3 linked regions of the Caenorhabditis elegans genome follow. The protein of the gene in region 2 purifies or fractionates together with the protein of the main gene of each other region. This does not show direct contact. Each region holds a gene or a part of one and is shown on either strand. Other genes may lie near its edges. The genes, in order: lin-65, arle-14 and met-2.

Region 1 (7,653 bases), on a different chromosome or scaffold from region 2:
GATTTCTGGAGCTTCTGGGGCTTCTGGAGCTTCTGGAATTTCTTGAGCTGAAGCATCTGAAGCTCCCAAAGAATCCGGAACATCCTGAGCATCCTGAGCTTCTGTAGATCCTGGAACTTCTGGAGCTGAAGCATCAGAAGCCTCTGAAGCCTGAGCTGAAGCATCTGGAGCTCCCGAAGAATCCGGAACATCCTGAACTTCTGGAGCTTCTTGATCCGGAGCTGAAGCTTCTGAGGCTTCTTGAGCTGGAGCTGAAGCTTCTGGAGCTCCTGGAGCCGGAGCATCTGCAGCCAGCTCTTCCTGAGATTCAGGACCATCTGTAGTAACATCCTCATCCTCATCCATATCAATCACGAGAATCGGTTCCGGAGTGTCGTCATCATCGTCGTCCAGCATCACCACATCATCTGATTCGTCTGAAAATCGGAAAATTTTAGATTTTTTGAGCGGGAAATTCAAATTTTTCGGGCTTGAGGCGGCTTTTGGTGGCGTAGAAACATTTTTGGTGGCCTAGAAGCATTTTTGGTGGCCTAGAAACCTTTTTGGTGGCCTAGAAACATTTTTGGTGGCCTAGAAACCTTTTTGGTGGTCTAGAAACATTTTTGGTGGCCTAGAAACCTTTTTGGTGGTCTAGAAACATTTTTGGTGGCCTAGAAACCTTTTTGGTGGCCTAGAAAAATTTTTTGGGGGCCTAGAAACATTTTTGGTGGCCTAGAAACATTTTTGGTGGCATTGAAACCTGTTTGGTGGCCTAGAAACATTTTTGGTGGCATTGAAACCTGTTTGGTGGCCTAGAAACCTTTTTGGTGGCCTAGAAACATTTTTGGTGGCCTAGAAACATTTTTGGTGGCCTAGAAACCTTTTTGGTGGCCTAGAAACATTTTTGGTGGCATTGAAACCTGTTTGGTGGCCTAGAAACCTTTTTGGTGGCATTGAAACCTGTTTGGTGGCCTAGAAACCTTTTTGGTGGTCTAGAAACATTTTTGGTGGCCTAGAAACCTTTTTGGTGGCATTGAAACCTGTTTGGTGGCCTAGAAACATTTTTGGTGGCATTGAAACCTGTTTGGTGGCCTAGAAACCTTTTTGGTGGCCTAGAAACATTTTTGGTGGCCTAGAAACATTTTTGGTGGCCTAGAAACCTTTTTGGTGGCCTAGAAACATTTTTGGTGGCATTGAAACCTTTTTGGTGGCCTAGAAAAATTTTTTGGGGGCCTAGAAACATTTTTGGTGGCCTAGAAACATTTTTGGTGGCATTGAAACCTGTTTGGTGGCCTAGAAACCTTTTTGGTGGCCTAGAAACATTTTTGGTGGCCTAGAAACCTTTTTGGTGGTCTAGAAACATTTTTGGTGGCCTAGAAACCTTTTTGGTGGTCTAGAAACATTTTTGGTGGCCTAGAAACCTTTTTGGTGGCCTAGAAAAATTTTTTGGGGGCATTGAAACCTGTTTGGTGGCCTAGAAACATTTTTGGTGGCATTGAAACCTGTTTGGTGGCCTAGAAACCTTTTTGGTGGCCTAGAAACATTTTTGGTGGCCTAGAAACATTTTTGGTGGCCTAGAAACCTTTTTGGTGGCCTAGAAACATTTTTGGTGGCATTGAAACCTGTTTGGTGGCCTAGAAACCTTTTTGGTGGCATTGAAACCTGTTTGGTGGCCTAGAAACCTTTTTGGTGGTCTAGAAACCTTTTTGGTGGCATTGAAACCTGTTTGGTGGCCTAGAAACCTTTTTGGTGGCATTGAAACCTGTTTGGTGGCCTAGAAACATTTTTGGTGGCATTGAAACCTTTTTGGTGGCCTTGAAACCTTTTTGGTGGCCTAGAAACCTTTTTGGTGGCCTAGAAACATTTTTGGTGGCCTAGAAACATTTTTGGTGGCCTAGAAACCTTTTTGGTGGCCTAGAAACATTTTTGGTGGCATTGAAACCTGGTTGGTGGCCTAGAAACCTTTTTGGTGGCATTGAAACCTGTTTGGTGGCCTAGAAACCTTTTTGGTGGCCTAGAAACATTTTTGGTGGCCTAGAAACCTTTTTGGTGGCCTAGAAACATTTTTGGTGGCCTAGAAACCTTTTTGGTGGTCTAGAAACATTTTTGGTGGCCTAGAAACCTTTTTGGTGGTCTAGAAACATTTTTGATGGCCTAGAAACCTTTTTGGTGGCCTAGAAAAATTTTTTGGGGGCATTGAAACCTGTTTGGTGGCCTAGAAACATTTTTGGTGGCATTGAAACCTGTTTGGTGGCCTAGAAACCTTTTTGGTGGCCTAGAAACATTTTTGGTGGCCTAGAAACATTTTTGGTGGCCTAGAAACCTTTTTGGTGGCCTAGAAACATTTTTGGTGGCATTGAAACCTGTTTGGTGGCCTAGAAACCTTTTTGGTGGCATTGAAACCTGTTTGGTGGCCTAGAAACCTTTTTGGTGGTCTAGAAACATTTTTGGTGGCCTAGAAACCTTTTTGGTGGCATTGAAACCTGTTTGGTGGCCTAGAAACATTTTTGGTGGCATTGAAACCTTTTTGGTGGCCTTGAAACCTTTTTGGTGGCCTAGAAACCTTTTTGGTGGCCTAGAAACATTTTTGGTGGCCTAGAAACATTTTTGGTGGCCTAGAAACCTTTTTGGTGGCCTAGAAACATTTTTGGTGGCATTGAAACCTGGTTGGTGGCCTAGAAACCTTTTTGGTGGCATTGAAACCTGTTTGGTGGCCTAGAAACCTTTTTGGTGGCCTAGAAACATTTTTGGTGGCCTAGAAACCTTTTTGGTGGCCTAGAAAAATTTTTTGGGGGCCTAGAAACATTTTTGGTGGCCTAGAAACATTTTTGGTGGCATTGAAACCTGTTTGGTGGCCTAGAAACATTTTTGGTGGCATTGAAACCTGTTTGGTGGCCTAGAAACCTTTTTGGTGGCCTAGAAACATTTTTGGTGGCCTAGAAACATTTTTGGTGGCCTAGAAACCTTTTTGGTGGCCTAGAAACATTTTTGGTGGCATTGAAACCTGTTTGGTGGCCTAGAAACATTTTTGGTGGCATTGAAACCTGTTTGGTGGCCTAGAAACATTTTTGGTGGCATTGAAACCTGTTTGGTGGCCTAGAAACCTTTTTGGTGGCCTAGAAACATTTTTGGTGGCCTAGAAACCTTTTTGGTGGCCTAGAAACCTTTTTGGTGGCATTGAAACCTGTTTGGTGGCCTAGAAACATTTTTGGTGGCATTGAAACCTGTTTGGTGGCCTAGAAACCTTTTTGGTGGCCTAGAAACATTTTTGGTGGCCTAGAAACATTTTTGGTGGCCTAGAAACCTTTTTGGTGGCCTAGAAACATTTTTGGTGGCATTGAAACCTGGTTGGTGGCCTAGAAACCTTTTTGGTGGCATTGAAACCTGTTTGGTGGCCTAGAAACCTTTTTGGTGGCCTAGAAACATTTTTGGTGGCCTAGAAACCTTTTTGGTGGCCTAGAAAAATTTTTTGGGGGCCTAGAAACATTTTTGGTGGCCTAGAAACATTTTTGGTGGCATTGAAACCTGTTTGGTGGCCTAGAAACATTTTTGGTGGCCTAGAAACATTTTTGGTGGCCTAGAAACATTTTTGGTGGCCTAGAAACATTTTTGGTGGCCTAGAAACATTTTTGGTGGCCTAGAAATCTTTTTGGTGGCCTAGAAACCTTTTTGGTGGTTTTTTTTTTCACAGGTTTCGGAGGCATTTTTCGACATTTTTGGCCATTTTCTCAGCTAGAAATTCCAATTTTCGAGTTTTAAGGTAATTTTTAGCGAAAATTGCAAATTTTTAGTGCAAAATTCAAGGTTTTACTCAAAAAATCTCACCTTTCTGCTCAGTTATCTCCATAATTTCTCCATCTTCACCCAAAAGCTCAGCAATCTGATCATCATTTAATGGAGGTATTGGATCATCTGAAGCTTCTGTATTTAAGATACTTTCGTCGATTACTTCTGACATTCTGTAAAATTTTGAATAATTTAGAATTTTAGATGGGAAAAAATGGCAAAAAAAAAAGGATTTAAAAAGTCAGAAATTCAAAAAAAATTATTTAAAAAGTTAGAAATAGCCGATTTTTCAGGAAATATTCGAAAAATTCAGGAAAAAACTTTGAAATCAGGGGAAAATCTCGAAAAAAATCAAAAACAAATCTGAAATTTTTGGGGAAAACAGTTTTTTTTTACGAAAAAATTCAAAAATTTTGTGCAAATTTCGAGAAAATCCAGAGAAAAATGTGGTTTCTTGATTTTTTTCAAACAATTTTTCGAAAATCTCCAAAAAATCGTGAAAAACTCGAGGAATTGAAGGGAAAACTAGCAACAAAAAATCACAAAAATTGAGAAAAAAATATAGAAATCAGCTGAGAACTGGGGAAAACTCGGGAAAAATCTAAATTTTTGGGGGAAAATCAGAAAATTTTGGGGAATAACTTGCTTTTTTCGAGAAAAATTTCAAAATTTCGTACAAAATCCCAGAAAATTCAGAAAAAAAAATGCGGTTTTTTGATTTTTTTTCAAATAATTTTCCGAAAATTTCCAAAAAATCGTAAAAAAATCGAGAGTAGAATTCGGCTGAAAACCGGCAAAACTCGGAAAAAATCGGAAAATTTTGGGGAAAAAACCAAAAAAATCGGTAAAAACCTGCTTTTTTTTGAGAAATAATTCAAAAATTTGTACAAAATCCCAGAAAAATTCTGAGAAAAATGCGGTTTTTGAATTTTTTTTTTTGCAAACAATTCAATTTTCCGAAAATTTTCAAAAAATCGTGAAAAAATCGAGAAATTGAGGGGAAAACTAGCGAAAAAAAATCACAAAAAATGAGAAAAAAAAGATAGAAATCGGCTGAAAACCGGCAAAACTCAAGAAAATAAAAATCTGAAAAAAGTCTCTAATCTCTTTATTATTTCCTAAACAACCGGGGTAATTTTTACACGAATTTTTAAAAATTTTTTTAAATTTTTTACAGCACACATTTTCAGCAGCAGCTTTTGCTCTTTTTAGCCATCATTGCAGCTCCAACTCTCGACCATTTATCATATCCGGCGGCTTCATTAAACCATTTTGCAGTTTCGACAACTTTGTCCAAATTGACACCAGTTTCAAAACCGTTTCCTTTCAAAAAATACAATAAATCTTCAGTTGCAAGATTTCCAGTTGCTCCTTTCGCATATGGGCAACCACCGAGCCCTGCGATACTTGAATCCGCACTTCGGATGCCTTTTTCGATGGAAATGAGCACATTTGCGAGAGCTTGACCGTATGTGTCGTGGAAATGAACTGCGAGTTTTTCGGCTGAAATGGTGGTGATTTTTTGAAATTTTTTTTTCTTTCGAAAATAATTTTTTTTCACAGTTTTCCCGACTTTTTTCGCCTGAAAATCAATCGATTTTTCATTGAAATAACTCAAAAAACGATAAAAATCTCAATTTTCGCTGCGAGACCCACAATCTGTGGGGAAATTGACCGAATATCATGATAAAAAAATTCAAAAAATTTTTTCTAGATTTTATAAGATTTTTTTTTGATAATTGAAAAAATCTCAGTTTTCCCCTAATTCCTATTTGAATTACCGCCAATCGGATTTGACCGATGGAGCGCGCTTGCATTATTGGAATTAATTAATTTTATTTATTCTCATTATTCGACTGAATTTCTTCATTTCTTCTGTTTTTTTTTGTTGGAAAATGAAAGAAATAAAAAAGACATATGCAAAATGTTTGTTAAAAAGTAACTGAAAATGCCTAAAACTGTATTTTTTTTGAATTCTGACGACGGCAAGCCTGAAATTAGTATATTTTACAGTTTTATAAATAAAAATATATTTTGTAAAACTGTGAAATATACTAATTTCAGGTTTGTCGTCGTCAGAATTCAAAAAAAATTACAGTTTAAGGCATTTTCAGTTATTTTTTAACAAAAATTTTGCATCTGTCTTTTTTATTTCTTTCATTTTCCAACAAAAAAAAAACAGAAAAGAAGAAAATCAGTCGAATAATGAGAATAAATAAAATTAATTGATTAAAATAATGCAAGCGCGCTCCATCGGTCAAATCCAATAGGCGAAAATTCAAATATAATTATGTAAAAACTGAGATTTTTCAATTTTCAAAAAAAAATCATATAGTCTAGAAAAAAATTTTGAATTTTTTTATCACGATATTCGGTCAATTTCTCCACAGATTGTGGGTCTCGCAACGAAAATTGAGATTTTTATCGTTTCGTGAGTTATTTGACTGAAATCGATTGGTTTTCATGCGAAAAAAGCCGGGAAAACTGCGGGAAACTACTTTTTTTGTAGTTTTTCACTCGAAAAATCGAAATTTTAATATAAAATATTTAAAAAAATCCGCTACCTGGCACACTTTTCAGCACCGTATCCAGCATTTTCGACACAGTTTTCACTGTTCCAACGCCAATAGTGTCGCCCAGCGAGACCTCATAACACCCAGATTCTAGAAGCTTCTCGGCGACTCTGGCCACCATTTCCGGCTGTACAGCTCCCTGATACGGGCATCCAACGACGACTGAAACGTAGCCACGTACTCGAATATTGTTCTCGAGGGCGATTTTTGTGACTTCCATGAGCTTTTTCAGACTATCTTCCACATTGGAATTCACATTTTTCAGTGAAAACGCGTCTGAAGCTGCTCCAAATACGGCAATCTCTTCGACGACTCCTGTTGCGAGCTGGAAACTTGAGAAATTTGCAATTTTAAAGGTGGAGTAGCGCTAGTGGGGAAATTGCTTTAAAACATGCCTATGGTACCACAATGACCGAATATCATGATTAAAAATTTTTAAAAAAATTTCAAAATTTTATATGATTTTTTGAAAATTGAAAAAATCTCAGTTTTTGCCTAATTCCTATTTGAATTTCCGCCAATTGGATTTGTTCGATGGAGCGCGCTTGCACGTTTTTAAATTTATTTATTTTATTTTTTGTTATTTTCCACCGATTTTTAATGTTTTCAGTGTATTTTTGCTCGAATTTTAGAGAAAAAGCCAAGATAAATTCAAATTTTCGATTAAAAAGCACGCTGACAGGCGTAAATCAGTGAAATTAATTAATTCAGGTTCGAAATCATTTAAAAGCGTTACTTTGTCATTTTTACGCCTGTCAGCGTGCTTTTTAATCGAAAATTTGCATTTATCTTGGCTTTTTCTCTAAAATTCGAGCAAAAATACACCGAAAACATTAAAAATTGGTGGAAAATAACAAAAATAAATAAATTTAAAAACGTGCAAGCGCGCTCCATCGAACAAATCCAATTGGCGGAAATTCAAATAGGAATTAGGCAAAAACTGAGATTTTTTCAATTTTCAAAAAATCATATAAAATTTAGAAAAATTTTTTGAATTTTTTTACTATGATATTCGGTCATCCCCACTAGCGCTACTCCACCTTTAAGCCCTAAAAAATCAATAAAATACCGCGTTTTTGAGGCCAGCGGCGTTTGGAACCAGAACCGGGTAGGAGACACCTTCAAATCTCCGATGTTTCTTGACAATTTCGTTGTGATCAGCCAACTGGGGCACCCATTTCGGTGAGACGAAGCTTGTCGTCTCTACCGTTTGAAATCCGCACTCTGAGAGCCGATCGATGAGCTCGACCTTGATTTCGGTGGGAACGAACTTCTTTTCGGCCTGAAATTAAGAAAATAATGGATTTTTTGCAAT
Region 2 (6,196 bases):
AATTATAGATCATCGAGAAACAAAAATTTTTATAGAAAATTAATAAACAATTGCTTTTTTCTAGATTTTTTATTTTTAATACAAATAAAAGAAACACTCACTTATCAATAGGCTCATCAAACGATCGCTGGGGATCTTTCAACGTGACATTATTGAGAATAAACGTCCAAACGTTATCACAATATCGATAAGTGAGCAGTTGTGTCGCACAAAAATTCATTTTCTCTTTTGGAAGCCGCGAGATTTGCTTGTTCATGCTTTTATCAAATTGTTGCAGAACTTTCGAAGCAAGAGATTTCGTGAGAAGTCCTTCGGATTCCATGTCCTCAAGAGTTTTATCGAGTGCCTGACCCAGTGTGGTCCCTCGGTAAAGAGCGTATGACGACATTTCTGGAAGATTCTGAAATATCGTTGGATTAAATTTTTCTCGAGAAGATGCCAGATATATTTTCAGATTATCAACCGAGAAACTATGGATTAGTATGACAAAAAAGAACAAAAACAAACAATATCTTTAGTTTTTAATGAACATCGAGATTGAATTTTTCACAAAGACATGTATAAAACAGTTCAAAATAGATAATACCAGTACAAGAAAAAGGGGAACATACATAAGAGGTTAAAATTGATAAAACGATAAGGCATTTAATCCTTGATTTGGCCCGGAAAATAAGGATTAATATTGACAACAGGGCCCGGGGCTTCCGTCACTGTGTACATCTCCTCGACGCGTATCACCATTTCTTTTCGATTTTGACGACATCCGATGAGACATTTGCGAGCTGAAAAATGCATTTTTCTTTGTTTAAAGAATTTTTAGAACAAATATTTTTAGTTAATGAATATCATCTCTTACATTTGCACTGCTTACATGGCCAATGGCACCCATCACACTCCACCACGAGACAATCACAAAGATCGAAAAACAAAGTCTGTCCTTTTGCGGTAACCGAAAGTTTTCCTGTTTTGTCATGATGCAAAGGTTCGTCTCTCAGATCCGCCTGCTTCTCCGCGGCTACACGTTTCGAGCGGTTGGTGCTAATAATATCCACAGAGTCGGGCAAAAATCGAGACATTTCATCTCCTGGATTCGCGAACTGGAGGCCTTGAAGCTCTCGGTGTGCCATTCTCGTTCGACGGCTCGTTCCTGAACTTTCCTTTCGAGATGATGGCTGCAACTTCTGGGAACTTTGTTAAAATTTTCTTTATTCAAAAGCGTACCTTTGTTTCGAAATCGTCAAAAAGCTCCGCATCGACTTCATCGCAAATCTCGGAATCTTGTTGCATTTCACTATCCGTCGAGAAATCATTTTCAAGCTGAAAAAAATACAAAAATTAAATACATTAAAATTTCAAATTTCAAACCTCTGCTGCAGCTTTCGCCAGACCGGCAATTTGTGCGAGAACGTCATTGGAGCTCATTTTTAGAATTATTGGTTCAGAAATTTAGTAGGAAATATGATTTATATCGATTTAATTTGAATATATCCGAGGAAATTCTATTATTCGATATGCTCTCCTCGCGGGAAATAACATGTGCGTACCACTTGCGAAAAAGCGCGCCGCGCGTTGCATTCTGTGACCACGCCCTCATTAATTTCTTATTCATTCAGTTCCTTTGAGTGTTTTTCATGAAATTTCTGCTGTCAATTTATTATTTTTAAAATATTTTTCTAAACGTTAGTTAACTTTTAGTTTGTTACAGATGCTACATAATGGGGAAGGCGGAATGAGTGTTAATGATCTTCAAGAGCTCATCGAGCGACGGATACCCGATAATCGAGCTCAACTGGAAACGAGTCATGCGAATCTTCAACAAGTTGCCGCGTATTGTGAGGATAATTATATACAATCAAACGTGTGGTTTAATTTTTTCTTTTAAGTTTATGAATTAAACGTTTTCAGAATAAATCTGCTGCGCTAGAGGAATCCAAGAAATTCGCGATCCAGGCACTCGCCAGCGTAGCCTACCAGATTAACAAGATGGTTACGTAAGTATTTCAATTAATTTGTTTTAATTATGAATCTTTTTTTCAGAGATTTACACGATATGCTTGCTCTACAAACCGATAAAGTGAACTCTTTAACAAATCAAGTTCAATATGTTAGCCAAGTAGTTGATGTACATAAAGAGAAGCTTGCAAGACGAGAAATTGGTTCTCTCACAACCAATAAAACATTATTCAAGCAACCCAAAATCATTGCACCAGCAATCCCAGATGAAAAGCAGAGATATCAACGAACGCCCATCGATTTTTCTGTTCTTGACGGAATAGGGCATGGTGTCAGAACATCGGATCCACCGAGAGCAGCACCAATCTCAAGAGCAACTTCATCAATTTCTGGCAGTTCTCCATCACAATTTCACAATGAATCTCCAGCGTATGGAGTTTATGCTGGTGAACGAACGGCTACGTTAGGAAGAACAATGAGACCGTATGCTCCATCAATTGCTCCATCGGATTATCGGTTGCCACAGGTGAACATTTGAAATATTCATAGAGGCTGAAAATAATTTGCTTTTCGTGTTTTTGACAAAACGTTTTCAAAAAAAAAAGGGAGCGAAAAATTCTGACATAACTTATACATTTTAAATTTTAAACTTTTTTTTCTGAAAAATACACTCAATATTGAAAAAAAAGTGAACCATTGATAAATTTATTCAAAAAACGGTTTTTTTGACCCAAAACGACCGCATTTCATAATGAGACTTCTGAAAATATCGAAAAAAAATTTAGAGCGAGCCTGAATAAGAATCTGAAATCCTTGTTACAGCAGTTAGATACAGTATTTATTGAATAATCACATAATTAATTTTGAAATTTTTTAGAAGTCTTTTTATGAAATTCAATGTTTCAGGCTAGTTTTTGTCGACTTCAGACTAAACAACTAATTTTTAAAAAATCAGCTCATTTCCTTTTCAAAAAATTAATCAAGTTTTTTCTAACATAATCCGATTACTTTTTACAGGTCACACCACAATCAGAATCACGAATCGGCCGTCAAATGAGCCACGGATCAGAGTTCGGAGATCATATGAGCGGTGGTGGTGGAAGCGGAAGTCAACACGGATCATCAGACTATAATTCCATTTATCAACCTGATCGTTACGGAACTATTCGAGCTGGTGGTCGGACTACAGTGGATGGTAGCTTTTCTATTCCCAGACTATCATCTGCACAAAGTAGTGCTGGAGGTCCAGAATCACCAACATTCCCACTTCCACCACCAGCTATGAATTATACTGGATATGTTGCACCGGGAAGTGTGGTACAACAACAACAACAACAACAAATGCAACAACAAAATTATGGAACTATTCGAAAATCAACGGTGAACCGACATGATCTTCCACCTCCACCAAATTCTTTGCTCACTGGAATGTCAAGTCGAATGCCAACACAAGATGATATGGATGATCTACCACCTCCACCAGAATCAGTTGGTGGGTCATCAGCGTATGGAGTGTTTGCTGGTAGAACAGAATCGTACAGTTCGAGTCAGCCACCAAGTCTCTTTGATACGAGTGCTGGATGGATGCCCAACGAGTATTTGGAAAAAGGTATTTTTGGAGATTTTAATTTGATTGAAAAATTGTCGGAAAAAAATTCTCTAAGCTTTTCTGTATTATTTTACGATTTAGAAAATTGGCTAAAATTGTTAGTGAAAAATTTATTATAAAAACCGAAAAAAGTTTAAAAAAATTAAATTTAATAAAAATTTAAAAAAGAGAAAAAAACAAAAAATTTTGTGATATTGGAAAGTGATTTTGAAAAATTCAAATATCTCCAAATTTTTTTTTTTTGAGAATTTTCAAATTTTGAAAATTATAAGCTTTGATTTTTTAAAAAGTTATCTTTTTAGCTTTTATTTTCGAAAAAAACGAAAAATAAATTTCCTTTAAAAACATCGGAGTATCAAAAAAATCCAAAAAGAATCGAAATCTTAAGTTGTAAAATGCGATTTTTTGCAGAATTTTTAATGTTACAAAGCAATTATATTTGTCAATTTAAACATTTTCGAAAAAAACCAATCTTTTTTTTCAGTACGGGTCCTGTACGACTATGATGCTGCAAAAGAAGACGAGTTGACACTTCGCGAGAACGCAATTGTCTACGTACTGAAAAAGAACGATGACGACTGGTATGAAGGTGTCTTGGATGGAGTCACTGGGCTTTTCCCTGGAAACTACGTAGTTCCAGTATGATAACAAGAAATGCTAACCCTGCTAAATCAATTGCTTTTAATCTCACTTTTATTCATATTCATATATTGCCTTTTGCCTCGAGTACTTGTATGTGAAAAGCCAAAAATAAACGATGGATATGTAATCATGAAGGAAGCAGTGGTCCCCTCGTTTGCAGCAGTGAGAAGCCTAAAAATAGCCAATACGACTGCTATTTTCGAGTCTCGACGCATTTCCTGAACGCATGTGCTCGTTCTCTCACTGCCCCCGTACTACTCTCTTTTGGTTTTCCTAGGGGCTCGCCTATTTAATGAGATTGCTCATTTTCTCTTCATGCACACACATTCATTCATTTTCTTATATTTTTGTGCCTTCTTATTTCTTTTCCTCTCCTCTCTAGTTTATTTTTTCTTCTATTTTAGAATTTTAAATAATTCATGTTCGGCACGACGAATAGTGACGCCAAAGAGTTTGCAAGGCGTGGGAATTGTATCTTTTTTGGTGGGCGGTGGACACAGATTTTCTTAGAGGAGGAACAAAGGTCAAAAATACAAGCAGAATTCTTGAACAGTTGAAATTCCCGCGCGATTTCCAATAAGATGACTTGGATCGCGGTGGGACCTTAACTATTGCACAGACGCAAAATTTTGTCATTTTTGCGCCAAAATACGGTACTCGGTCTCGACACGACAATTTTTTATTGGATAAAAACGGATGTGCACCTTTAAAGAGTTCAGTACTTTCAAAAATTTGTTGCTGCATGCTGCATGAAAACTCCATGAAAATTTAAAAGCAACGGAAGTTTGAAACTACAGTACTCGTTAAAGGCGCACATCCCTTTTTATTTAGCAAAAAAGTGTCGTGTCGAGACCGCATACCGTATTTTTTTATCTTTTAACTTTAAAATATGAAACTCTGCAGAGTACTCTGCTCATAAAAAGAAACAAAAATTCGCTTTAATTGGAAAATTCGAGAAACATTTCAGTCAGAAAAACAAAACATTGTTTTTTTTTTCGAAAAACACGAGACCTCAATTAAGAAAAGTCGGTTTGTTGTTTTGTTGGTGCTCTTAAACTGCGGTTAATCTTCCATTCAAAAGCATCTAATACAAAAAGTACCAGTAATTATATTTAAATCGGTTCAAATACCTCATGGGACAAATTTGAATTGGCATATTTATTTTTTGATAAACATTTTTTTTCCGACCTTAACTCTTGTATAACAATGAAATCTAATCTTGTTGCTATTAAACACAATTTCTGACGAAAAACTACGGAACCTGGTCTCGACGCGACCGGAAATTTCAGGCATAGAAGAGTGTGTACCTTTAAAGATTACCGTAGTTTCTCAGTTTTTTTTTGCAATTTTTATCCACCCCTTTTTAAAGCTGTTTTTCGAAAAACTAATTTTTCGAAAAGAAAAAATATCGATGATAATTGAACACAATTGCGTAAAACAGAATTTCGCAACTACAGTACTCTTTAAAGGCGCACTCTCTTTTGCGAAACTCTCGGTCGCGTCGAGACCGGGTACCGTTATTTTTTTTGTATTTTCTTGCAACTTGGTAATAATTGCAATCTGAATTGCAAAGAAATTTTGGTGCTCCATACGCGCATTTCAGTATTTTCAATTTTCAAAAGTTCCCTTATTTTTAAACCAAAGCACATTTCATTTCAGTGTTCTTGTGGCTCTTTTTTCTCTATTTTCTATCTTTTCAGAGTGTCCTGTGTCCCTTCTCCCCTCCCCTACCAGGGCGTGACGTCGGTACGCTCCTCTTCTTACGTCTTTCCATATCTCTGTACTCTCTGTACTCTCTCTATCTCTCTCACACACACAACAGAAAGAGCTCACCAACTTGTCTATTCTCTATTTACATATTTCGTCAATCTTTTTCTCTCTTCACAGGGGCGGCTACCGATCCGTTCTTTCGCAAAAAACCCTCGGAAATAGTAAACCCCAGAGTCATCATTGATAGTTATAAATAGACATCTTTATGTGAACTCACCTGTT
Region 3 (10,855 bases), 2.7 Mb from region 2:
TCATTTTATGTTAATAAATATTTTCGAAAGAATTAGTTTTTTCTTGGTTTTTTTTGGCAAGAATTCCCGTTTCTTGATAATTGCAAAAATTTTCTCGTTGGACGGCCTTGCTTGGGATACCTTTTTAAATCGACCATTCCAAATTGCATAAGTTGCCCATCAACGAATTCTTGATAACTTATTTCAGTTTTACCATCATCTTCATTCGTAATCTCATTTTCTGATCTTCTGATCCATTCTTTTCTCTCGTCACTCTTATCTCTATCAAAAGCCATTCGAATAGCATCATCATCTGTTGTTCCAGTGTATTTAAAACTGAAAAAAATAAAATTTTGATATTTTCTCCGTATTGGAAGTTACTTACTTAACAGTATGATGATCTAAATCACTGAAATATTCTCTTGCTTCATTCGAAGTTGAAGTTCCAAGTCCTTTATAATATTTAATTTTCCATTTTCCTCCTTCTTCAACATCTGCCCATTTCCGATATTCATTCATTGAGAAGAATGATCTAACTTTATCTCCTTTCTTTGCTTTCAGTAGTGGTGTTCGGAATGATTGAATGAATCCATCTGTATGCACAAGACTTGGCCAGAATTTATGAATAAAATTAACAATTAGTCCCTTGATGTGACTGCCATCCTCATCCTGATCCGCCAAAATCAAGAGTCGACCGTATCGAAGAGACTCGCGAGTTATTGAGTTCGAATCTTCAAATTTCAATCCAAGAATTCGGAGAAGATTCGAAATTTCTTCATTCTTCGATGCACGGGCGTCATCTAGATTTGATACGTTCAACAGTTTTCCTTTCAGTGGAAATACTCCATAAGTTTCACGTCCCAGAACTTCTAAGCCGGCAAGAGCCAAAGCTTTCGCCGAATCACCTGAAAATGTGTTTATTGAATAGAAATTCTTAGTTTCAATACGGTAACTGGTCTCGACACGGCAATTTTCTGTGAAATACAAACGGATGTGCGCCTTTGAGGAGTACTGTAATTTCCACCGATTTTCTAGTTTTTCTTTAAAAACAACCTAACTATTAAAATATATATTAAAACCTAGTAAATGTTTAATCGTTTTTTGATAAATAAATACATTTTTGACGGAAAACTATAGAAAATCGGTGGAAATTACAGTAATCTTTAAAGACGCAGGGACCTAGTTAATATGATACCTTCTGTGAGAATCAATGTGCACTTCTCTGCCGTTCCCGTAATTCCAGCCCATTCAGCGTCTTCTAGCTTGACAATATCTCGAACTGAAGACACTGAAACTCGTTTTCCTGGTAATTTCTTCTTTTTCATATTCAATACTTCTTCCACAATATCCTCTATTAATCCACTCTGTTCCGCCCATTCTGCTGTTTTCTGAAAAAATTTTAAAAATAGTACTGAATATACTAATTTTATATTTCTAACCTTCGCATCACATTCAAAAATTGATCCAAAATTCTTGGCTTTCGTCGTCAAAGTTTCTTTAGTTTGACTTTCAAAAGATGGATTTTCAATGAGACAATTGATAAATATAGACAAATTATTCTTGATAACTGCTGGTTTCACACTTTTCGTAGGATCTCCTAACTTTGAATCTACGATTGGCTTGATAATATTCACTATTTTATCCATCACATAATCCACGTGGCTTCCCCCTTTCTCCGTGTTGATATTATTCACGAAGCTAACAATTTTCGGAAGGACCACATGAGATTCTCCAAAGAAATTATTCCGTTTGGCCACGCCCACATGCCATCGAGGTGTTGGATGAAGAAATAGAAGAGACGAAGAGTCATTGAACATTTTTACATAATCTTCGAATCCGTCTACATCACATTTTTGGCCATTTAGGTAAACATCAACATCTCGTGGAAGAGTTGCAGCAACTTCAAATACACGTCTTCCGATAAGATCGATGACGTCATCGGAGAGTTTATCTATTTGGAAACGTTCAAGATCAGGAACAAATTCGACCTGAAACAAAAATGGTTTTTATCTTTATTATGAGATCCTATGGGTCTCATTTGGTATTTGACGGCAAAATCGGAAATTTAAACGTTTTTAATTATTTTCGCATGTTTTTAAGAATTTTTTTTATTTCATCAAAAACATAACGGTAAACGTTTGAAAATTGACAAAATCGGCGAAACTAATTGAAAACGTCTGAAATTCCTGTTTTCCACCAAATACCTAGCGAGACCCATGGTTTGGGGGAGGAGCCTATCGAAACTTCATACTTTAGTGTAGTCTTTGACTGTTTCATCTAAAATCTCGACAACTTCCGCCTCATTACACTTTTTCATATTGTCATACCATTTCTAAAAATTTAATAAATTAATTCAATTAATTCCTCGATTTTATTATCAGAAACCTGTCTAAACCGTCGTTTTATTCTTGTATCCACTGTTTCAACGATAAATTCCTTTGAGAAAATATTACAAAGTTTTGCACCATATCCATTTCTTCCACCAACTGTTTTAATTTCAGAATCATCATAATTTGATGAAGTGAATAAATTTCCAAAGACAAGCGTTGGAACATAAATTCCTTCGGTTGGATGAATTTCCACTGGAAGTCCGCTTCCGTTATTCCATACCGATATTCGTGCGGTTTCTCTTAAAAATTTATTTTTAAGGATATACATTACGAAGACGCGAATTTGTGCAACAAAAAACGGTACCCGGTCTCGACACGACAAATTTTTGTTTAATGCGAAAAAGTGAAAAAGATAGTACTGTATCGCCAAACTTTCGTTTTTGAGGAATTTTGTTTCTTATAAATTAATGTGAATTTTAGATTTTTTTAAAATCATATATTCATCGGAAAACCATTTATGAAAAATTGAAGAAACGAGAATTTAAAACTACAGTATTATTTAAAGGTGCACGTCGATTTTCATGCATTTACCAAAACAATTGTCGTGGCGAGACAGCGTATCGTAGCTTTGTCGCAGAACATAAATTCCTGCAATATATTTACCTATCTAACCATACTTCCAACCGATTCATACTGGAATCTCTTGCTTTATTATCAGCCGCATTCACTAGAATCTCATCGAAAATCTTCAATAATCCAGGTGGATAAGTGACTTCTTTTGCAATCATTTTTCTATTTTCTGAGTCTCTGAGCCAAATAATTTGATCTTCTCGCATGGCGACACCTCCAATATATGTATCGGGTCGAAGTAATACATGTTCAGTTGGACTTTTCTTTTCATATTTTGCTGCAGCCTCTTCAAAAAGAAATATTTTAGCTAAAGTTTTGAAATTCGATTATTACCAGAAGCAAAACTAGTAGAAGGAATATTATTACAAAATGAACGAGTATTTTTTAAAACTACAGTAGTCCTATGTGACGTGGAAATGCAGAACTTCAAGTGACGTAGAACCCGTAATCGATGCATAACTTATGAAACCTAAATATATATATTCTATATTTTAAAATTGTAAACTGAAATAGATTGGAGACATCAAAACTGTACTGACTATTAAAAAATATAATGTCTTTTTTAAAACATTTTATTCGCAGAGAAAATCAAAATGAAAACCAAAGAAACTATTTGGCAAACCCTTACGAGGTAAATACGTGTTTAGATCATACATATGAGATGCTGTTTTCAAAGGGAGATTTTAAACGATTGAACAATAAACAAAATAAAAATTAAATAAATAAATAAATACTTAAAAAAAAAGGAAAACATAACTGGGAAGGAAATAACAACAATTCTTTAACTTTTCAGCAAACGGCCGGTGCAGTTTTCAGCTCCGCAGTGGCATGTGAGTTGTGTGGTAGCCGTCTGATCTTGAGTATATTGATAGTCCCAGGTTAGCTCATCGCCGGCTTTCACGTATTTTCGTGTGAAAAACGCGACCCATGGAAGACGAAGATCATGCGTATCGTACATGACGTGTTGAACGTGCACATTCGGATCGCAAGAGTGATTCAAGAATCTGAAAGTTATCGAAAATTTATGATTGTATCTTTGGAGTGCCGGTTTTTCAAATTTTCTCAATTGTATTATAGTCTCCAAAACATACCAAATGACTTTTTACGAATTTTAGTTTTTTTAAGATGGAGTAGAACCGTTTTGAAATTTGTTTCCTTTTTTTGCTTTTTTCTTCACTTTTCAACGTGAAATACTGTTTGTTAATTTTTCAGAATTTTTTCCATAGAGAAAGGTTGATAAACCAAAAGAAGAGGCAAACGGTTGGTTTGTCCATTTTTTATCATTTAAAGCAAAATCTCTAAAAAATTTTTTTAATGAATAAAATTGTGATCTTACCTTCCAAGATTTCCTCTCTGTTTTGCATCTATAACATACAATGGAAACGGCTCAAAATACTTATCCCAATTGAAAACGGGTTCGTCTTTACTTTCAATATTATCCTTTTCCATTGAATCTCTTGGAGTGGTGTCATCTTTCTCCACACTTCCTCCTTTACCGGATTTTTTAGATTGCTTTCTTTTCTGTCTTGTCAGCCGTTTTGTTTCTTCACCACTCTCCGAAGAGTCTTGACGTTTCACCATTTTGTTCATTACATCATCACCGGAGTCACCATCACTTCCTTCTTCGTCATCATAATCTGACTCGTCTCCTCCGTAACCAAAATCAGTTTCATGATCTTCGCGACCCTTTTCCAGCTCCACGGTATCCTTCAAGTCCAAATCAGCGAAGTATTGATCCGCATTTCTTAGTTCATCAGCCAAATCATCCGTCAGTATAGCACCTACATACGTGCAAATGAACGTACTTTGAGGAATATCCGTCAAAGCTCGGACTCCCCATCCGGATTGAGCAGTTTTGAAGATCTGAAGAAAAAACAATAATTGGTATGTATCATCGTTAAATAAACTCACATGCATAGGATACTTGATATTGTTCTGAACAACTCTGTTGTAACAAGACTTTCGATGGCATGAACACTGATCGTTGCATTCATAGAGTCCACTGATAACCTTACTGCTGAGAAGACGATTTTGATAGTGAGGAACTCTGAAAAAAAATAGTTTTAAAAATTTATTTTGTTTTTCTGAACTCTCATACAATTCGTCGTGTCCGTCGAATTGTAAATTATGGGGGAGTCGTTTCATTGCTTCAATGGACAATTGTTGGCATTCACACTTCGATGCGTCACTGCAATCACCATCACAAGAGCATCCAGAACAGAAATCTCGGCTAACACTCGATATATCCACTTGATCATTGTATTGGAATCGTCGTTTCGAATATTCCAATGATGGAGGCTCATCGTTATCCACGCTGTTCACTAGTGGAATTGGGATTCCTTCGGTTCCAAGCGAAAAATCAGCAACCTTCAAATATTTATCGTCAACAGTAATATAAGTGGCAGTATCGATTCGTGCATCAAATGAAAAACAATCAATCGTCAATAAACTTCTGGTGACATGAATATATTCAGAGACGTCGCTGATCTGGTGAAGAGCGGCTCCGCATGGAGAAAAGTAAATAATGTTTTTCTTCACTGCTCCCCGCTTCTTTCCAGTACTCATTGTGTACATAATTCGTCTCCAACCACACAAAAGAGGAGTATGTATTGGTGAATTTCGATGGAATCTTGCTTCATACGGATCCGCATCCATTTTCTGTAGACAATCTGGACCACATTGAGCATGAGCCTTGAGATTTTCCAATGGTGTTAGGACGGGTATTGGAACAATAATCTTGTTAAATAAGAATTGATTTTTCTTTCTTATTTCAATTTCTCTCTTCGATTTTGCATCATTTGTCGAAGCGACATTCTGATTGGTGCCCGTCGTTTTCTTTTTAACGACTTGTTGGTGATTCCTCTCTGGCATCGAACGAATCATGTCGGTTGGCTCGAACTGTGATTGAAGCTGGTCTTTTCTGCGTTGCGACAGATTGTTATTTGTCGAGATCATGTGCTTCTTGTGCTGAAATAATACAAAATTTTCATGATTTCTTTCTCCTTTTTTCATATTTTCGGAACCTTTTTTTTGAAAACGTTGAAAAGTTTGTGTCCATTTTATAGAAAAAACTTTGAAGATGAAACTTGGATATTATTAAAAGCAAAAATTGATTTCACAGCTTTTTTTTGGAAGTTTCCCTTTTCGATTTCTCTAACAAAACATCCAAAAAACCTTGATTATCAATTATAAGAAATCAAATCAAATAAAAATAAAATAATTTTAGAAAATCCTCGTTTTGTATCAATTTTTCAAATAAAATCTTACCGCTGCGCCTTCCAATCTATGAGATCCTCTATAGATTTTCTCGTCAATATGCTGATGATTTCTATCATTGCACGGAAAGTCTGTACATCTATTCCCAGGAGCCAATGGATTCGGTGCTTCGTGTCTCACAATAGCAAAAGCTCGATCAGTTCCAATCACTGTCACCATTTTCTTACGTCGATCAACAAGAGAATTGTACAAACAGATTCGCATTCCAACTGGCATCTTGAGAAGTGGCCATTCCGGAAATTCTTTCATAAAATCCCGAATATACGCTGATCTGTGAGATTGTCGAATCCAATGAAATGTCAAAAAATAATCCAGATTTCCTTCCTTTCCTACTGGCTGTCCAACCATAATAGCAATCTGAGCAGCATTCATCTTCGCAATCATTTCTTTGAGAGAAAATACACTTTTCTTTTCAGAAGCAACTTCATAACCTGGTTCACCAGGCATTGTCGGAGCTGACACGTATGCATCGGTTCCGTTGTCGAAGAAAATTAGAAAATCGGATCTATGAGCTCTGCGACGTCCGGCAGCTGTACCGGTAAGCCAAATTGTTTTTTTTCCAAATTGGCTCGAGGAAATAACTTGGCGACAGGCAACTCGAAGACCTGAAAACAATGATTTTAGATACTTCGATCATGAAACTGATATCTAGGCCAGGTTGAGTTTTTGGATTTTTTTGTTGTTTAATGGATTCTGACAAACATCTGCTTTTTTGGGACCACAAAAAACAACTGCTACACTTGAAACGTTTTTTTGTGTACATAATATATTTTACAAGTTTTTCATGAAATATTTGGATTTGAATTTGTTTCAAACTTTTTCAAATTTAGTGTTTAGCACCATTTTTTTCTAGATCAACCGAAAATCCAATCATGGAAAATTTTAAATGGTTTTTCGTTGAAAAATATACGGGACGAAAATTCTAGATTATCAAAATTTTGTCAATTTTGAGAAGAGAAAAACGGACTTGATAGTGAATCAAATTTTGATTTTTTTAAATTTAACACAAAAACTAAAATTTTCGATTTTCTAATAAAATCGAAAAACCGAAACCCTTATTCTACATAACAGATGTAATATTAAATATCAATTTTAACTTAAAACTCACCAACATCACCAAATGTATTCAAACTCGGGTCATACATTCCCTGCGTAGTCATGGCTAAATCTCTGATGTTACACTCTCTGATCTGACTTGTGTCGATAAATTTAACCTTATAGGTCATTGCATCCACACGATCCTGAACTATGGCGTATGTTAATTCTGCATCGTCAGAAGGATTGGCGCGAGCCAGACAGAAATCTCCAACTGTCAAAACGAAGAATTTTTCGAAGTCAGTCTTGGTGTCGTAAACTTTCTGAGCTTCGGCGATGGCGAGCTTCATCTCGGCTTTTAATGTCTCCATTATTGCACGAGAGTTGATAATTTCGGTTCGTTGATCGGATGTAAAACTCTCATTCACAGCAGCCTCAGTGCCATCAAAATCGGGAATTTTCTCGTTGACAAGTTGAATTATTTCATTACGGCTGCCAACGGCGTTCTCAAAATGTTGTTTGAATTCTGCTGATGTTGACTCGATTTCGTGGAAGAAGTCGTTGAGCTCTCTAAAAGGTATTTAAGTGATAATTATGAAAATACTTTCAAAACAGTTGTGAGTTTGATTAATACTCGCCTGCCAATTTTATCCTGCGCACCGTTTTCCTTCTGATCATCCCAGTATTTGACTGCCGTATCAATGATATTATTAGAAAATTCCACTTGATCGAAATTCAAGAGTAAATCATCAGTCGGATTTGAATCAAAATCTAATCGACACGGATGCCCTTCTTCGCGTAATCGAATCAGAGTGAGCATGAGAATTGCTGATGCAGGTGATGTGACAGTAAACTGCATGAATCTCAACGGTCCATTTTTCGAATTCAATCCAGTATTTGGATAATCAAGAAAAGTGACACATTTTTCTATACTCCAATCGTCGATACGATCATCACATAGAACATTAAAGTCGACATCTTCTTCGTTGTTGGTATCGAGAACGCCAATACAAATAGCAGCGACTAGCACGTCTTCATCAATTAATTCGTATTTCTGTGAAAGTCCCTCAAGTGATTCACTTTCCTTGAACGATTTGACAATTTCCTTGCATTTATCGACATTTACAACCGGTGAATCGCTGATAGATTCTGTCAGATAGTTCGGATTTGTGAATTCGAAATTTTTAAATTGTTCTGGAAGGAGCCTTGTGAACCACGATAAAAATTCGTTGATTTTCAGTCTTCGAACTGCTTGTTTTTCTTCATCAGTTTTGACTATCGAATCTTCTATAATAAGATCTTCCTGAAAATAAAATAATTTTATTATTGTTTCCTTTATTGCAATCTAACCGCCTCTTCCTGTTGCTTGAGTTCAGCTTCATCTTTGGCAGTCTTCTCCGCATCAACCCGTCTTTGTGCTGCAACAGCTTCTTGTTCACTCTCATTTCCGAAGAACGAATTAAGAGCTTGAGCTACTTGCTCAGATGGCGCATCAAGGAGCGCTTGGACATCTGAATTAGCGTTAAGAATCCCTTCAACTAAATCAGAATCTTCATCTGTTCCTTCTTCTGCTTTTCCATTATCCAGAATCTCCTGTATTTCTGTTTCATCGTAGTCGTCCACTGTTAGGTCAATTGTCTGAAAATCGATAAATTGAATTATATGACAATGAATCTCCGAAGCGAAATTTTAAATAATTTCACTCACAGCAGTGACGAATGAACTTTGTTCCTGTGTTTCCATCCCATCATCCGAAAGAATACTGCTCGTATCTACGTTATTCGATGGTTCTTGTTGGTCCATCTGAATATTAGATAAAAATTAATTGAGGCAATGCCCTGAAGAGTTGCAGATACATATTTCGGATTTTTTCAAACCTGAAGAAATAATTTTTACCTATACGGACAGTATTGATAATTAAAAGAAAAAATTAAAATGGTTTGTATTTCAGTTATTCTACATGAAAAGAGAAGGCGATAAAGAAAATCAGAGGGAAAATATGGTACATATACAAAAGCCCTGGTTTTTTTTGGCTTCAAATAGTTTGAAAAATGTTCCACGTTTTGATTGAAAGTAAAGCTAAACGGTTTCGACGACGAGAAAATTGCTGACTGAGGGGAAATACTAGGGAACATAATATATTAGGAGAATGCTTGAGAGAAAATGATGAAAAACAGACATGTAAAGCTAGAGGTTGGCAAAAATTGATGATTCTGAATTATTAGAAAAGGCGAGTAGTACCCGAGAAAAAAAATAGGACCTTGTTTTTGTAATGAAAAGATTAAAATGATGAACATGGGTAAGAAGTGTTGAAAAAGGAAAGAAATTCAATTGCTTTTCTTATCGCCTCTAAGGATCTCAATGGTTTCATCCGCATCACTCTCCCGTCTGATTCCACATCGTAGTTGACATATCCTGCAAAAAAATTAATAAGAATTTAAACTTTAAATTGCACAGCTTACCACTTCCAGATTTGCCTTCTCATTGAAGCAGTCAATTGATTGAAGAGAAATGCGACAGACAACACGACGAATAGAGTATTATAGGCAACAACGACTCGAAATGATCCAAGCCATTGGAGCGATGAGTGGGAGCCGAGAAGATCAAAAGTTGTCATTCCAACTGTGTTAACAGCTACTGGGAGAGCGGATGCAACAACAAGAACTATTGAAGAATTAATAATTATCGTTGGCATTGGAGTATCTTTTCGAACAGGTCGAAGAGAACGAAGAACCGGAAGGGAGTACAGCCCAACGAAAGATGTGATCATCACGTAAATAATGAGAAGAGTTTCGATGCAAGCCCCAAAAAGTCCGAATGAATGACGAGTGTGTACCTGAAAAATTATGTACTTTTAGAAATTATATTTAAAATCTCCGAAGCTTACCTCAATGTATTGAGCATAGACAGGTAAACTGCGATACCCGAATAACAATTTCAAGGTATTTGTAGCCACCATGATTAGAGAGCATGTCGTCAAAACTAACAAAGCAGCGGCCGCTACTGGGAATCGAAGACTCATGAAAAGTTTCACAAGTCGCCCCTGCTTCTCAATTGCTCTTTTGTATAATTTCGAGGATTTTACTGTGTGAAGAACTGGCTTCCAGATGGCTTCCTCGGATTTGGTGCGACGAGCAGGTGATAATGGTGTTGATGATGCCTCAGACGAAGATGCTTCATGGAAATCTCCAGAAGCAAAAGGATCCACAAGAAGTGATGAGGATGGATTGAGGCCAGTTTCGGAATTGTGTTTCCAGCGAGAAAATCTTAAATCAACATTGTTAAATAAAACTGTTTAAAACATACAAAAATTAAATACCTTGAAGAATAATAATTTGCCGAAAATGAGCTCCTTGGAGGTGACCCAAACCAATAATCGTCAGATTCAGAAAGGGATGACCTCTGCCGGCGAGCCTCTTTGACATACTCTTTCAGATTCCTATAGTCGAAATTTGGATTCTTTGGCTTTTTTGGAACATCTTTATCCCATTTTCGAACTATAGGTGTTGTCGCAGCATAATCATGTTTCCTCCTCTTCTTTTTATTTTTGGTGGGTGTTGAGTTTCCTAAATCTCCATCATCACCAAACGCTGACTTATCATCCG

What was found.
Region 1: the proteins of arle-14 (region 2) and lin-65 purify together in Caenorhabditis elegans (affinity purification with mass spectrometry; one study listed by BioGRID). This does not show direct contact.
Region 3: the proteins of arle-14 (region 2) and met-2 purify together in Caenorhabditis elegans (affinity purification with mass spectrometry; one study listed by BioGRID). This does not show direct contact.

Annotation. Positions count from the first base shown.
Region 1 is NC_003279.8:1,751,614-1,759,266, reverse strand, and holds the start of lin-65 (uncharacterized protein), read right to left. Parts: upstream 3,939-7,653; 5' UTR 3,938-3,938; coding exon 3,805-3,937; intron 417-3,804; coding exon 1-416. Other genes in the region: Y71G12B.10 (hydroxymethylglutaryl-CoA lyase), read right to left, coding at 4,952-5,268, 6,330-6,663, 7,408-7,620.
Region 2 is NC_003281.10:5,688,240-5,694,435, reverse strand, and holds arle-14 (ARF7 effector protein C-terminal domain-containing protein), read right to left. Parts: upstream 1,487-6,196; 5' UTR 1,423-1,486; coding exon 1,366-1,422; intron 1,318-1,365; coding exon 1,222-1,317; intron 1,182-1,221; coding exon 857-1,181; intron 783-856; coding exon 646-782; 3' UTR 501-645; downstream 1-500. Other genes in the region: B0336.13 (Transcription initiation factor IIA small chain homolog), read right to left, coding at 102-388; abi-1 (SH3 domain-containing protein), read left to right, coding at 1,730-1,858, 1,906-1,991, 2,038-2,479, 2,971-3,562, 4,047-4,207.
Region 3 is NC_003281.10:8,373,498-8,384,352, reverse strand, and holds met-2 (Histone-lysine N-methyltransferase met-2), read right to left. Parts: upstream 9,054-10,855; coding exon 8,958-9,053; intron 8,889-8,957; coding exon 8,601-8,888; intron 8,554-8,600; coding exon 7,889-8,553; intron 7,821-7,888; coding exon 7,324-7,820; intron 6,821-7,323; coding exon 6,207-6,820; intron 5,907-6,206; coding exon 5,038-5,906; intron 4,987-5,037; coding exon 4,851-4,986; intron 4,803-4,850; coding exon 4,276-4,802; intron 3,944-4,275; coding exon 3,721-3,943; 3' UTR 3,490-3,720; downstream 1-3,489. Other genes in the region: R05D3.12 (Putative DNA topoisomerase 2, mitochondrial), read right to left, coding at 121-315, 365-884, 1,175-1,367, 1,419-1,967, 2,231-2,311, 2,365-2,608, 2,973-3,225, 3,273-3,396; lmbr-1 (LIMR family protein R05D3.2), read right to left, coding at 9,578-9,665, 9,713-10,086, 10,138-10,516, 10,570-10,855. UniProt on the Caenorhabditis elegans protein: Histone methyltransferase which is required for the mono- and dimethylation of 'Lys-9' of histone H3. This increases the efficiency of set-25-mediated trimethylation of histone H3 'Lys-9'.